2 linked regions of the Rattus norvegicus genome follow. The protein of the gene in region 1 interacts with the protein of each later gene in a pairwise test. Links are inferred from orthologs where the notes say so. Each region holds a gene or a part of one and is shown on either strand. Other genes may lie near its edges.

Evidence for each region. The genes of interacting proteins can lie anywhere in the genome.
Region 2: the proteins of Mad1l1 (region 1) and Lgalsl interact in binary tests that used the Homo sapiens proteins (3 or more experiments, as listed by UniProt). The two-hybrid records come from large-scale screens. The link is inferred for Rattus norvegicus from reciprocal best matches to the Homo sapiens genes MAD1L1 and LGALSL.

Annotation. Positions count from the first base shown.
Region 1 is NC_086030.1:19,431,657-19,438,375, forward strand, and holds the start of Mad1l1 (mitotic spindle assembly checkpoint protein MAD1), read left to right. Parts: upstream 1-3,125; 5' UTR 3,126-3,169; intron 3,170-3,220; exon of another isoform or gene 3,221-3,239; coding exon of another isoform or gene 3,240-3,376; intron 3,377-6,719. UniProt on the Homo sapiens protein: Component of the spindle-assembly checkpoint that prevents the onset of anaphase until all chromosomes are properly aligned at the metaphase plate.
Region 2 is NC_086032.1:99,201,431-99,207,971, reverse strand, and holds the start of Lgalsl (galectin-related protein), read left to right. Parts: upstream 1-2,125; 5' UTR 2,126-2,307; coding exon 2,308-2,343; intron 2,344-2,430; coding exon of another isoform or gene 2,431-2,842; exon of another isoform or gene 2,843-2,967; coding exon 2,968-3,039; exon of another isoform or gene 3,040-3,186; coding exon 3,187-3,275; exon of another isoform or gene 3,276-3,729; intron 3,730-3,870; coding exon 3,871-4,048; intron 4,049-6,541. Other genes in the region: probable splicing factor, arginine/serine-rich 4, read right to left, coding at 2,431-2,842. UniProt on the Homo sapiens protein: Does not bind lactose, and may not bind carbohydrates.

The DNA of each region.
Region 1 (6,719 bases):
CACAAGGCCCTGGGTTCGGTCCCCAGCTCCGGAAAAAAAAAAAAAAAAAAAAGAGAGTACTTGTTCTTATGTAGATCTCTCCTGAGAGACACAGCTAGAATACAGCAAATACATAGGCGAATGCCAGCAGCAAACCACTGAACTGAGAACGGGACCCCCGTTGAAGGAATCAGAGAAAGGACTGGAAGAGCTTGAAGGGGCTCGAGACCCCATATGAACAACAATGCCAACCAACCAGAGCTTCCAGGGACTAAGCCACTACCCAAAGACTATACATGGACTGACCCTGGGCTCCAACCTCATAGGTAGCAATGAATAGCCTAGTAGAGCACCAGTCGAAGGGAAGCCCTTGGTCCTGCTAAGACTGAACCCTCAGTGAACGTGATTGTTGGGGGGAAGGAGGTAATGGGAGGGAGAGGAGTGAGGGGGAGGGGTTAAGTGTGTAAGTGGCACAGGCTGGGTCCCAACAAGCCAGGCTTGGCCACTCCCCCTCAATAATTTCAAAGAGCCAAGTTGATAGCAAATCAGAAAAAGGGAATTGGGGGCTGGAGAGATGGCTCAGTGGTTAAGAACACTGACTGCAGGGGTTGGGGATTTAGCTCAGTGGTAGAGCGCTTGCCTAGCAACCGCAAGGCCCTGGGTTCGGTCCCCAGCTCTGGGAAAAAAAAAAAAAAAAAAGAACACTGACTGCTCTTCCAGAGGCCCTGAGTTCAATTCCCAACAACCACATGGTGGCTCACAACCATCTGTAATGGGATCTGATGCCTTCTTCGGGTGAGTCTGAAGACAGGTACAGTGTATTTACATATAAATAAATCTTAAAAAAAAAAAAAAAGGGAATTTGCCCAGTGTGGCCTCAGTGGGAAGAGGGACACGAAGCTCGATCTAGTGTGTCCCCAAGTCCCAGTGTCAGGGGTCTAAGGTTGATGAAGAAGATTGGAAGATTGAAGAGAAAGGCAGGAGGAGGCTGTGTGTTCAGTCCCATCAGTGTCTCAGCACTGATCTTTGCTCACCCTCAGCTGACAAACAAGAAATCATTCTTCTGGAGAGTTCTTCCAGGTGTTAGCCTTTTCCTTGGGAGGATATCTAGTGTCTTGTGGCTCTTTCTCTTTTTCTAAAGATTTATTTATTACCTTTAGGTAATATCAGTGCTCTATCTGTATGTACACCCGGAGAAGGCATCAGATCCCATTACAGATGGCTGGGAGCCACCGTGTGGTTGCTGGGAATTGAACTCGGGACCTCTGGAAGAGCAGTCAGTGCTCTTAACCGCGGAGCCATCTCTCCAGCCCTCGGCCCTTTGCTTCAATAGTCTGATAACCAAAGGGCCAGTTGAGGAGCAGGGCTGTTTCAGGACACTCAGAAGGCTGATGGGTTGCTGTGAGGTCCAGGCCAACCTGGGGTACAGGGTAAGATTCTGTTTCTCAGCTTGACCCCAAAATACAACATTCATCTCAAAACGGATGCAAGAATCTTTTGTGTTTATTTATTTTTGAAAGATTTATTATTTTATATATAATGAGGAAACCGTTGCTGTCTTCAGACACACCAGACACATTACAGACAGATTACACATAGTTGTGAGCCACCATGTAGTTGTGGGAAATTGAACTCAGGACCTCTGGGAGAGCAGTCAATGCTCTTCACGGTTTAGCCATCTCTCCAGCCCAATGTTTTTACTTTTTGGTTTTTCCAGGTAGAGTTTCTCTGTGTAGCTCTGGGTGTCCTGGAACTTCCTTTGTAGTCCAGGCTGGCCTTGAACTCACAGAGAAACTCCTGCCTCTGCCTCCAGAGTGCTGGGATTAGACACATGTGCCACTACCACCGAGATGGACAGGTCGTTTATTCTTGAGCCAAATGTCCCAGAAACACAGACTTAAAATTAAGTTACCCCAAATTCCATGTTCCAGTCTGGAAGCAGTGAGGAAATTTTTATAGTAACAGAATAAAGAAAGTCATGAATCAAGGCACTTTAAAAATACATTGGTGGGGGACAGGCGGCGCATTACTTTATTCTCAGCAGTTGGGGGTGGGGTGCAAAGGCAGGTGGAGGCAGCCTTGAGGCACACAGAGAAACCCTGCCTTTAAAAACCCAAACCAGACAAATCAAAACAAAACGAAACAAACAACAACAAAAACCAAAGCAAACAAAATCTTTCTTGGTGGTGGGGCGGAGAAATGGCTCGGGTTAAGATCATTGGTTGCTCTTCGAGAGACCCCAGATTCAATGCTCAGCGCATACATCTTGGCGCATAGACATCTAACTCCCATTTCAGAGGATCTGTTGTCCTCATCTGGTCTCTATGGGCATCATGTATGCACACAAAACACCCATAAAATAATAAAACATGAAAACAAATAGACTAGTGGAAGATTTAAGTAGGCAGTTATAGCAAAGCAGAGAAATAGCAGCTATATGCTTCTCATGCAGTTCGTGGGCTTTTGGTTGGTAGAAACTGGGTTTTAATGTATTCCAAGAGGTTTTTATCCATAAGTCACAACACGTTAGAGCTGACACAGAGGCGGGTAAGCAATGGGTATGACGGGGGTTAAAGATAGAGCCCAAGACAAATTACAACAGGCTCTGGACCGGCAACGTTACCGAAGGCAACCAGCCAATCCGCCTTTACAGTCACAATTTCTTCCCAGGAATTCTCATTTACAAAGGAAAGAAAATGAAACAAGCTAACCAATCAAAACACCGCCCCAAACAAAACAACCTGTGTATACATACACAGTGGCAAGATTCAGAGAAAAATCAACTTTCCAAAGCTATGTTTACTTTCCATGCCCAGCAGTTGTGGTGCAAGCCTTTTAATTCCATCCAGCACTAGGAAGATCTTTGTGAGTTAGAGGCTACACAGAGAAACACTGACACAAAAGCAAAACAAACGTTCCCTCCCAAGCAGTGCTACTCCACACATTACGGCGCACTGGGTGGCGTTCGAAGAGCGCCCTGAGGGACAGGCACCCTGGCTCAGTGTGGTTTCCAGCCCCTTGGCAGGACAGCAGTTGTTCTCAGGACACGCCTGTGGCGCGCATATTTGATTCTTTACGGGCCGTTTTCTCAGATCTCGCGAGACCCTCGCGGAAGTCTCGCGATACATAGGCACCGGCGGAGAGGAGGGAGATCTGAGCCGCTGCTGCAGCACTCGGCTCCTCAACTCGGGTAAGTGGCCGAGTGGTCGGGTCTGCGAGTTCCCCAGGCGCTGCGCGCGCTGCCCGACCGTACCGACGCCATGGGAAGGAGCTGTCCGCTGCCTTCCGGCATGCACACAGTCCGAGTCGATCCTGTCGCGCGACTTCCCTTTGCGGGGTCTTCCGTGTCGTGCTCCCGGGGCCGCTGTGGACCCCCGTGTCCCGTTGCAGGGCGCGGGTAGGCGTGCCTGGACCGGAACCGGGGCGGAGGGGACCGAGTGGTCTGCTGTGGGCTGAAGGGCTCCCGGGGTTGGAGTCAGTTACCTTGTAGATCCCAGGGATCGAACTCAGATTGACAGTCTTGGTGGCAAGCCCTCGTAAGCGCTGAGTCGTATGTCAAGCCCTCTCTGTCTCTGTCTCTCTGTCTCTCTGTCTCTCGTCTCTCTCTGTGTCTCTTTCTGTCTCTCTGTGTGTATGTGTGTGCCTGTTTTTGGCAGTACTGTTGATTGAACCTCGGACCTTATGCACTCCATCACTAAACTATGTCCCCATCCCTTTTAAAAGTTAATTGATTGGCTGTGTGTGTGTGTCTGTCTGCCTGCCTGCCTGTCTGTCAGTCTGTCTGTCTGCCTGATTTTGGCAGTACTGTTGATTGACCTAGGACCTTATGCACTCTACCACTGAACTATGTCCACAGCTCTTTTAAAAATAAATGGACGGGCTAATTAATTAATTAGCAAATTAATTAATTAATTAATTGTGTGTGTGTTTGCCGGTGTATACCAGGCTACCGGTGGAGGGAGGTTAACTTAGTTCTCTTCTTCCTCTGTATGGATCCTAGAGATGGAACCTTGCTTGTCTGTCTAGCCCTAAAGTGCATTGCAGATTGAGCTGTTTTTTGGGCCCCCTTCTTCCCCCGCAGTTCATAGGATTGAGCCTAGGGCTTCATGCATGCTAAGCAGTTACCGACTCTGCTGCCTCCTCAGCCCGATTCTTACTTTTTCCTCTTAATTTTTATTCTGTGACGGGACTTCCCAAGTGTTCCAGGCTGGCCTTGAACTTGCAACCAGCCTTTGAATTTGTCTCAGCCTTCTGAGTACCTGGGATGACAAGCCTGTGTCACCAATTGCCAGGTTTTTAGGCTGTGCCTTGGCTGAGACCAGAAAGAAGGTGTGTGCATACCTGTTAAGTCAGAAGCCATCCAGGGCAGCTGGTGTTCTGGAAGGTCTGTTGCCTGGAAGTTCAGGGTTCCTGTAGAGAGGGTACAGTTTGAGGTGACGATTTAGTTACCTGTGTGGCTTCTGAAATGGTTCTTGTGTCTGTGGCTGAGTTCTTGTCCTGGAGAGGGAGGACAGAAAGTGTGACTTTTCCTTCGATCTTTGAGAACAGAGGTCTACTTCTTCCCACTGCGTCTGTTCTCCATCTGGTGACCAGCTCTTGCTTTGTTGTGTGTGTATTTGGGGTGTACACTAAGGTTCTTGTTAAGTGAAAAATTCAGAAGAAATTTCTGCAAAGTAACCCTCCCCCGGCCCTTTTGAGATTGGGTCTAGCTGTATTCTTAGGTCTCTGTGTAACCCAGGCTGGCCTGCAACATGTGATCTTGCCTCAGCCCTCATATACATTCCTTTTTTCTTCAGGACCTTTCTCCAATTGAGAAATGCTTGGGCTTCTTTGCCACTGACCCTCTCCCCCACTGCAAGGAATGCCAACACCTTACCTGGTCCTTCAGTCTCACCTGGCATGACATATATGGCAGTCTCTCCATTCTGTCCTGAGAAGATTGTGAAGGAGTTTAGACAGCTACAGAGGCACATGCAGATTCCTTCCACACTAAGGACAGGGACCACAATCCATTGGTTCACTCACTATCCCATGGGCTGACTCTAATTGGAAGTACTAGGACAGCTCAGGTGACCCCCTAAAGAAAGGTTATGTGATTACTTGGCTTGATAGAAGACTGAAGAGGGTCTTCTGCCCCCATCACCATCGTGACTTCCAGGGCAATATTGTCCGTTGCTGGCAAGTCTGTTTTGTTCTCATTGCATTAAGGGTCTACTTATTCAGACTTATCAGAATATTCTAGACCTGCCCTAGTGTCTGTTCTAGGGGGACCAGGCAGTCGTTTGGAGGAGCACCGAGAGTGAGTTAAAGGCTAAAATGTTGCCTAGTCCTGGATCTTTCTGCTTTTGTTGTGAGGGTACTCTATAGACCCCATTCTTAAAAAGGTGCTCGTGTCTGAATTCCAGGGTGTCAGGTGTCACAGTGTGGGATCAGCTCTTTCCTCCTCCTTGTGGGTCATGGGGCTCAAACACAGGTCCATAGGCTTCATGGGAAGCATCTTTAACCACTAAGCTGTTTCCCCAGCCCTACACCAGGTAACTCACAGACATTAAAGTTACAGACATCCCACAGTGATTCCATTATCCCAAATGGAGAAGAGCATCCAGCCAGGGCCACAAAGTTGCAGCCATGTCCTCTGGCCTTACAGGGCTTAGTTCTCTCTGCCTGACTAGATGCCATCTGTCACTGCTTGCCACTCGAGAATCTTGGTATAAGAGGTTGTCTGCATTCTCTCCAGTTTTTCATTTTTCTAGCTCCTGGCTTCAGTCTGACAGTGGGATACTGCTGGTTGTCCTTACCCAGGTCTCTTGTAAGAGCCCTGTTCTCCCTTTGCTTGGACTCCATGCCCATGGGAGTGCAACACTCCTGCCAGTACAGCCCCTGTGTGATCCGAATCAGTACCTAAATCTCCTCCTTCCCTGGTCCATCCCAGTCACCGATCTGAAAAGAGCTCTTCTCTGTCCCCTGGCTATTCTTTCAGAAAGCCCGGGGTGAGCTGTTGTTGCCTCTTCTGGCTATTAGGCACCTTTCATGCAGGCCCAGCCTTGTCCTCTCCCCTGCTGGGGTGGGAGTGAACATTTCTTTTCTTTCTTTTTTTTTTTTTTTGTAGTTCTTTTTTTTAGGAGCTGGGGACTGAACCCAGGGCCTTGCGCTTCCTAGGTAAGCACTCTACCACTGAGCTAAATCCCCAGCCCCGGGAGTGGACATTTCTATCCAGACTCTTCTCACTTCTTGGGCTTCTTTTCTTGGGAATATCTTCTCTGATGCAGGATATTTGATCACACTGTGTTATTTACTGGAAAAAACCTGTTTCTAGTTGTGGTATGGCTCAGCTCTAGCACACATCTTTAATCCAAGAGCTTTCTGATTATCGTAGACAGGTTTAAATAAAGTCATCCATGGGTCAAGAGGTGGACCAAGCAATCAGTTGACAGGGAGTAAACACAGGGAAAGAAATCACAGAGAGTAGGGGAACTCAGGAGGATGAATAGAAAGACACATAGGAAGTGGAAGGCAGGGAGATTTCGGTTCGAGGTCTTTGAGGTGGTGTGGAGAAGAACTGCCTTTTCTTCTGGAACATCAGCTGAGAAGGAGGTCAGCTGGGTACTTTCTCTGCCTCCCTGAGCCAGCAGACCTTTACCCCAGCATCTAGCTCCCAAGTCTTTACTGGTAAAATGGAATGTTTAAGATTTTGTTAAAAACAGGGTTGGGGATTTGGCTCAGTGGTAGAGCGCTTGCCT
Region 2 (6,541 bases), on another chromosome or scaffold:
TCCCCACCAATGCGACTGGTGCCACTCACACAGCTTTTCAGAACTAGAAACTTCTAAAATATAAGAGAAGCTTGGTGACAAAGTGACAAAGCTTTGTGATGGGGACTGCTAGGTCTCCCCAAGGGTGCCTGATTCTACACTGCCATTCCTCTCACCTGGTCCAGACAGGAGCCTCCCTCCTGCCCTGGCTACAGGCTGCCTGTTCTTGGGCTCTTATCACATCAGCTACAGCAATGTATCAACATCAGAGAGTACAGTGACAGGATGCTTGCCCTGCATATACAAGGCCCCGGGTTTGCTCCCCAGAACCTCCAAAACCAAACCTCATCTGCCTTGCTCAGAAACTTCCGGGGTCTTCCCGTTCCCTTCAAGTAACCAAGGCCTCAGCCTGTACTTCTGCTCCACATGCCCAGTAGGTCCCATCTTGTAGACTTTATCTTGACAGTTCCTGAGCTAGCAACCTCTTGTGGAGGTTGGACCTTCCCCCCTTTTCTCCCTCCATTGAGAATTCAGAATTCTCAATGTCACCTTCCCAGGCTACCCTGCTTTAATAGCATCATCCTGCATTTTCTCCCTCCCTGCCTTATTTTTCTCAGAGTCTTTACTACGTATACAGGTTTACTTATGTCTGCCTCTCCTCCCTACAGTGTAATCTCAGCAATGCCCCTGCTGATTCTGGGCTCCCGGTCAACAGCATGGACTCAGGACTGTTGCCTAGAACGTGCTGAGTGTTCTTCTTGGGAAGGTGTGTGAACCAATCTACCAATCTGCACAGTAATTCGAGATAGGATCATCATCGTAATTAACATCGTGTCTGGTGAAGAAATTGCCACGCTACTATCAGTAATAAGAAACTGAATTTGGACCCAAGACACCAGCCCTTTATAATCACCATAATGTATTGTACCACGCTTAGCTTATAGCAAATAATTCAATGACTTCCCTATGCTGACTCTTAGAAATTCTCAGATAATCAAAGTATGGCTTTAAAATATCAAGTTTCTTATAATTGCCTAATATTTAAGAATAATTAATAGGTGTGATTTCTGAGCTCAGACTCGTAAACAAGAGCAAAATGGGAACCACAATTATGCCTCTTCAGCCTCTAATTCTGAGAACCACTTCCTCAAAGGCTCCGACTGTGGATGACAGGCATGCTCAGGTAATTCTCCCTGCACCACAGAGATTACCGTGATTAGCACCGGTCCACAAAGGGACACAAAAGCCGCAGAGATGCCAGGTCCCACAAAGGGCCCCTCTGGGACTGTAGCAGCTCATTTGAGCTCCCTGCTTATTAGTGTGGTGATTCAGTGCACTGGGTAAGCCGAGGATGTCACCTAATAGAGGGTATGTTGATACAGCCTTATCTGAGAAGTTATATAATTACGCGAGTGTCAGGATACCATAAAGGAGTCTGAGCTTTAGAGTGAAAGAGGAGGGTATTCCCTGGGAAGTCTTACACAAAGAATGGCGGGAGATTCCATTACCCCAAACTAAGCAAGTGAAGTAAAATAGCTAAGGATAGAGGCCGTCCAGTTTAAGTTGCGGCTTGGCCAGGCACCTGCTGAAGATTGCTTCCGGGGACCCCGGATACCAGCCTGTGCTTCCCTGGGAACAGAGGATTGGTCGGTGCTCAGCAAACTGCCCCCCTTGAGTCACGGCTGCTTCTTTATTTAGGGTCAAATGTATTCTTCTGCAAGCCTTGGACCCTCCGTTCTCCTTCTCCTCCAGACAGTGAAACTAACTTTCCTCCCACTGGGTTGGAATTCTCTGAAAGAAGCCATACCGGGTCTTCCTCTTCTCCTTCCTCCACCTTCTCAGGACCTCGCTCCTGATCCACCCCAACAATCCCAGGATGCGGAAGGAGTGAGTGAGTAGGCCATCGGACGGGAGTGTCCCCAGCACCTGTCACCTGGCCCACCTGGCCCTCCCTTCACCCCCTCCCCCAGCCCCACCCACCTTCCCCGCCGACAGGCCACCGCCCTCCCCGGCCTCCAGCCATGGTCCAATGGCCGTAGGGCAGGGCACGCTGAGCAAGCCGCGGTGCCCGGGCCTCGTCCCCGCCCTGTTCCCGGTCCTCGGTTCCCGAGTCGAGCCCTGCCGCCTTTAAATGCCACCCCAGGCCGACGCACTGCGGCCCTCGCCACCGTCATCCCCTCGCCGCCGCGACCTCCGCGCCGCACACCTCCCCTCCCCCTCCCGGGCCTGCGACCGCGCCAGCCTGGGGCGTGCGCGCGCGCCGGTGTGTGCGCGCGCCCGGCTCGGACCCGCGCCCGCCGCCGCGTCCCCGGCGCTCGCTGCAGGAACATGGCGGGGTCGGTGGCCGACAGCGACGCCGTGGTGGTGAGTGCGGCGGCCGCCCGCGAGGCGGGTAGCTCGGAGGGCGGGGGAGAGGTCTACCGACCCGCGGTGCCGCGGGAAGCGCGGTACCTGTCAGCCGCCGCGGGGTGGGAGTTCGGGGCCCCAGGCGCCGGGCAGGAGGGCGCCGGCCAGGTGCGCGCCGGGCGCGTGTGCGTGCACGTGGGTTACCGTGGGGCCGCGGCCCCGGCGTCCGGGATTTCCCCCTTTGGAAACGGTCCCGCGCCGGGGGCTCCCGGGAGAAACGGAGCGCTGTCGCTGCACCGCAGCCACGTCCCCGAGGACAGGCCCGGGGGCAGAGACTCCGGGAGCGTTTGTGCTTGGAGAGGGGGCCTGCCGCCCACCTACACGGGCTTTGCTTCCCCGGTGGGCCGCGACCTTGAATTTGATCCGATCTCAAGAGCCTGGGGATCATCAGAGGCTTAGACCGGGTGGAAAGGCCGGGTTTTGTTTCGCGGTTATTTAATGAGCTATAAAGAGGCATCACTGCCTATGTGTCTGTGGAGGGCTGCTGGATCCCGACCGATTTGTGTGGATTCCACATCCTTCTATTCACTCCCTAATAAACAAGGGTCTGTGGAAAGCCAATCTGTGTGCTTCTATTTTTAGAAACTTGATGATGGGCACTTGAACAACTCCCTGGGTTCTCCGGTTCAAGCCGACGTGTACTTCCCACGACTGGTAAATCAGTGTGCTCCGTGTCTCTGCCTTTATCCTTCTCCCTCCTGGTGCATTTCCTTGCCTTCTGGTGGGTCAGGTTCTCAGGGCCGAGGGCTTGGCTTCTCTCACAGCCTGTAAACTTCCTGTCTCTCCCCTCCTCCTTTGCAGATAGTTCCATTTTGTGGGCACATTAAAGGTGGCATGAGACCAGGCAAGAAGGTATTAGTGATGGGCATCGTAGATCTCAACCCCGAAAGGTAAGGGCCGAGCCCTTCTGTTGCTGAACTGCGGCTGCCTCCTCCCGTTCCTCTACTTGCAGACAGTGTCACTAGTTAGGAGTGCCAAGAAAGTACCATGTTCCCATGAAAAGAATGTGTATGAATCCCAGCCATCATCTCTCCAGATAGCTATTTATATCAGGGATGATAAAAATAGGCCGACAGTTAATCTTTGACCCTTGAGAAGGCCAAAAGACTTTTCTTTTTTATGGCTTTGAAACACTATAGTTGTAACCAAACCTGTTAGAATAAATAAGAACCAAACTTACAAAATGTTCCCCTTGTCAGTTCCCTTGGCTGTTTTGGAGAACTCTGAAATGGATTAAGGCCCCGGGTGGCCTGGGGCGTTTGAAATCTTCAGTTGCAATTATTTTCAGTAACACTGAAGTTTTCACCAGAGCCTGCTTTAGGAAGCAAAATCTATTGGTTTGAGTGTAATCCTTCTACTCTGTGTTTAAACTCTGTGTAAACAGTAGCAGCCCATTAAAAGCCGATGAACCCACTGGAGGAGGAACTGGGTCAAGTTAAAATGTTACATCTAATTCCCAGCTAAGTGACACTGTTTCCTTTCTAGTTTTGCCATCAGCTTGACCTGTGGTGACTCTGAAGATCCTCCTGCCGATGTGGCGATTGAACTCAAAGCTGTGTTCACGGACCGGCAGCTCCTCAGAAACTCTTGTATATCAGGAGAAAGAGGCGAAGAGCAGTCAGCAATCCCTTACTTTCCGTTCATCCCGGACCAGCCGTTCAGGGTAGGTACCTGGAGTGCCCCATGCAGTGTTGGCAGGGCCCCTGCTCACGATATATCTACTGTGTGCCAAGAGCTCTTTAAGAATTTCTTCATGTCCAAGAAACTTGTTGCCTGGGACTTGTTTCCCGGCCGTGAGAACAGAATAGAGAGAGAGAGAGAGAGAGAGAGAGAGAGAGAGAGAGAGAGAGAGAGAGAGAGATCTGCTTGCTGATCGACATTAATGCTTGCCATAGTAGCTCTTGACTCTCTTCAGCCCCTATGTTTAGTTAATGGGTGCATATATGCATACCTAATTGATAAGTACTTAGCTGTACACAACCAATGCAGAGGCATTAATTATTGATTTGCTAACTTTTGGGGTGGTACTGGGGTTTGAACCCAAGGCCTTGTGCACATTAGGTAAAGTTCTGCAGCTTAGCTACACTCCCAGTCCTCTTTTTTTATTTCTGTTTTGAAACAGGATCTTACTAAATTCCCAGACTGGCCTTGAACTTGTAATCCTCCTGGCTCAGTTTGCATAGTAGCTTAGAATACAGGTCTGTGTCATCGGGTCAAGCTGGGAGTATTAATCTAGTAATAATTTTCTGTGTAATTCCCAATATAGTTTTAGGCACATAAATAACCTACCCCTAAGTATCTGATTGATTATTAACTAGTACTAAGATCCAGAATTTTCATGTTTCTTAGCCTTAAGTAGCTCAAAACCTTACTAGGTATGGGATTAAAACAATTTAGTGGTTATCATTTCATTTTTTTCTCATTCCCTTTGCTAATGAGCCCATATTTGTGTATTTATTTTCCTGTGAGGGTTAATTAAGCTTGTCTGTTTCATGGTCACAAGCTGTGTGGCTGACAGATTTCCTCCCTTGGGCTTGGGTAAGATCACTTTGCTCCCAGTCCCTACGAGGCAGGAAATAACCCAAACTTGCAGTCTCATCAAGTAACAGTAGCATTACCTTCCTCTGTGGGACAAATAGGAATGATATAAAAACAGGACTCGCTTACATGCCAGGCCTGGTGCTGCGGCTGGGGCCTGCGGGAATCTTACCATACATCACAGTAACAGCCCCTCGGTTAAAACTTTGCTACAAATGGACCAGAGTAAACAAAACTGCTCTAAATCTTTGTACTTCATGTGGACCTTCTCAAGGCCTGCAACTGTTTCTCTTTCCTTAGAGTCTAGAACAAAACAGAACTCCACAAACTTTTTTACATCAGTACAAGAAATGAGGTTGTTCCCCTTAGGACCATAATCTAGGAAGTTACCCCTTATCTTAGCTCCTCCTTTAGAATGGAGGCTTGTGGGCTCCTCTTGCTATGCCAGGTTCTTAAATGGTTAGTCAGTCTGTCTGCCTGCCTTCCCCCACCCCCTCTCTCTTTCTCTCTCTCTCTCTCTCCAGCATTTGCAGGCCTCAACAGAGTTATCTCAGATGGTAAATTCTTATGCCTAATTCATGAATTGTGAGCTTCTGACTAGAAGGAATTCATTGCTTCCCAACAACAAAAATGGGAATGAAATAAACCAGGTGGTGGCGCAGGCCTTTAATCCCAGCATTCAGGAGGCAGAGGCAGGTGGATCTCTGTGAGTTCCGGTCTACAGAGTAAGTTTGAGGACTGCCAGGGCTACACAGAGCAAACCCTGCCTCAAGAAAAAAAAAAAAAAGCATGCAAAAATGGAGTGGAATAGAACTTCTCGGTGATCTAATTTAAGCAGTAATATAAATTAAATGTGACTAATATAACATATGGAATCTCTGCGTGAAAACGGCTAATGCTTTTCTAAAAGCATCATAGCACAGCCGATTCTTAAAGTCTGTGATGACCAGGAGGCGGTGGCTCCTGCCTTTGGTCCCAGTACTTGGGAGGCAGAGGCAGGCAGATCTCTGTGAATTTGAGGCCAGCCTGGTCTACAGACTGAGTTCCAGGATAGCCAGAGTTACATGAAGAAGCCCTGTCTCATACAAAGAAACAAACAAAACAGAAACCCAAACAAAGAAACAAACAAAAACCCAACAGACCGCTGTGGTGAATTATGGAAAAGGAGAGGGAAGAGGTTTACCATGTGGAGTCAGTGTTTGTTTGCCTTAACAAAGCCTTGTTAATTACACATTCTTGGTCCAAGGGTAATTACTGTGTAATCTCCCATAGTGTTTACCATGACTGTCTAGACTATTATTAGATGCTACTAATGGCTATCAGTCACGCATCAGGAGAGGTCCCCTCTAGTAGGGTAGGTTGTTTGGCCATCAGTGTCCTGTAAACAGATTGGTGCCCCTTTTCCCTCTACCTTTGGAGTATGGGAGGAAGTGTCTGTTCCACATCTTTGACTGGCATGGAGCAGCGGTTCTCAGAGTGGGTTTCCTGCTCCGGCATCTTGGCCCTTCCTGCACTCGCTCGGGTGAGAGCTTGGATCTGTAGACTGTGCTGTGCACTTCCTGAACTGGGAGTTGGGAGAGAGAGACCCAGCAGTCTGTATCCCAGCGAGCGTTGAGCA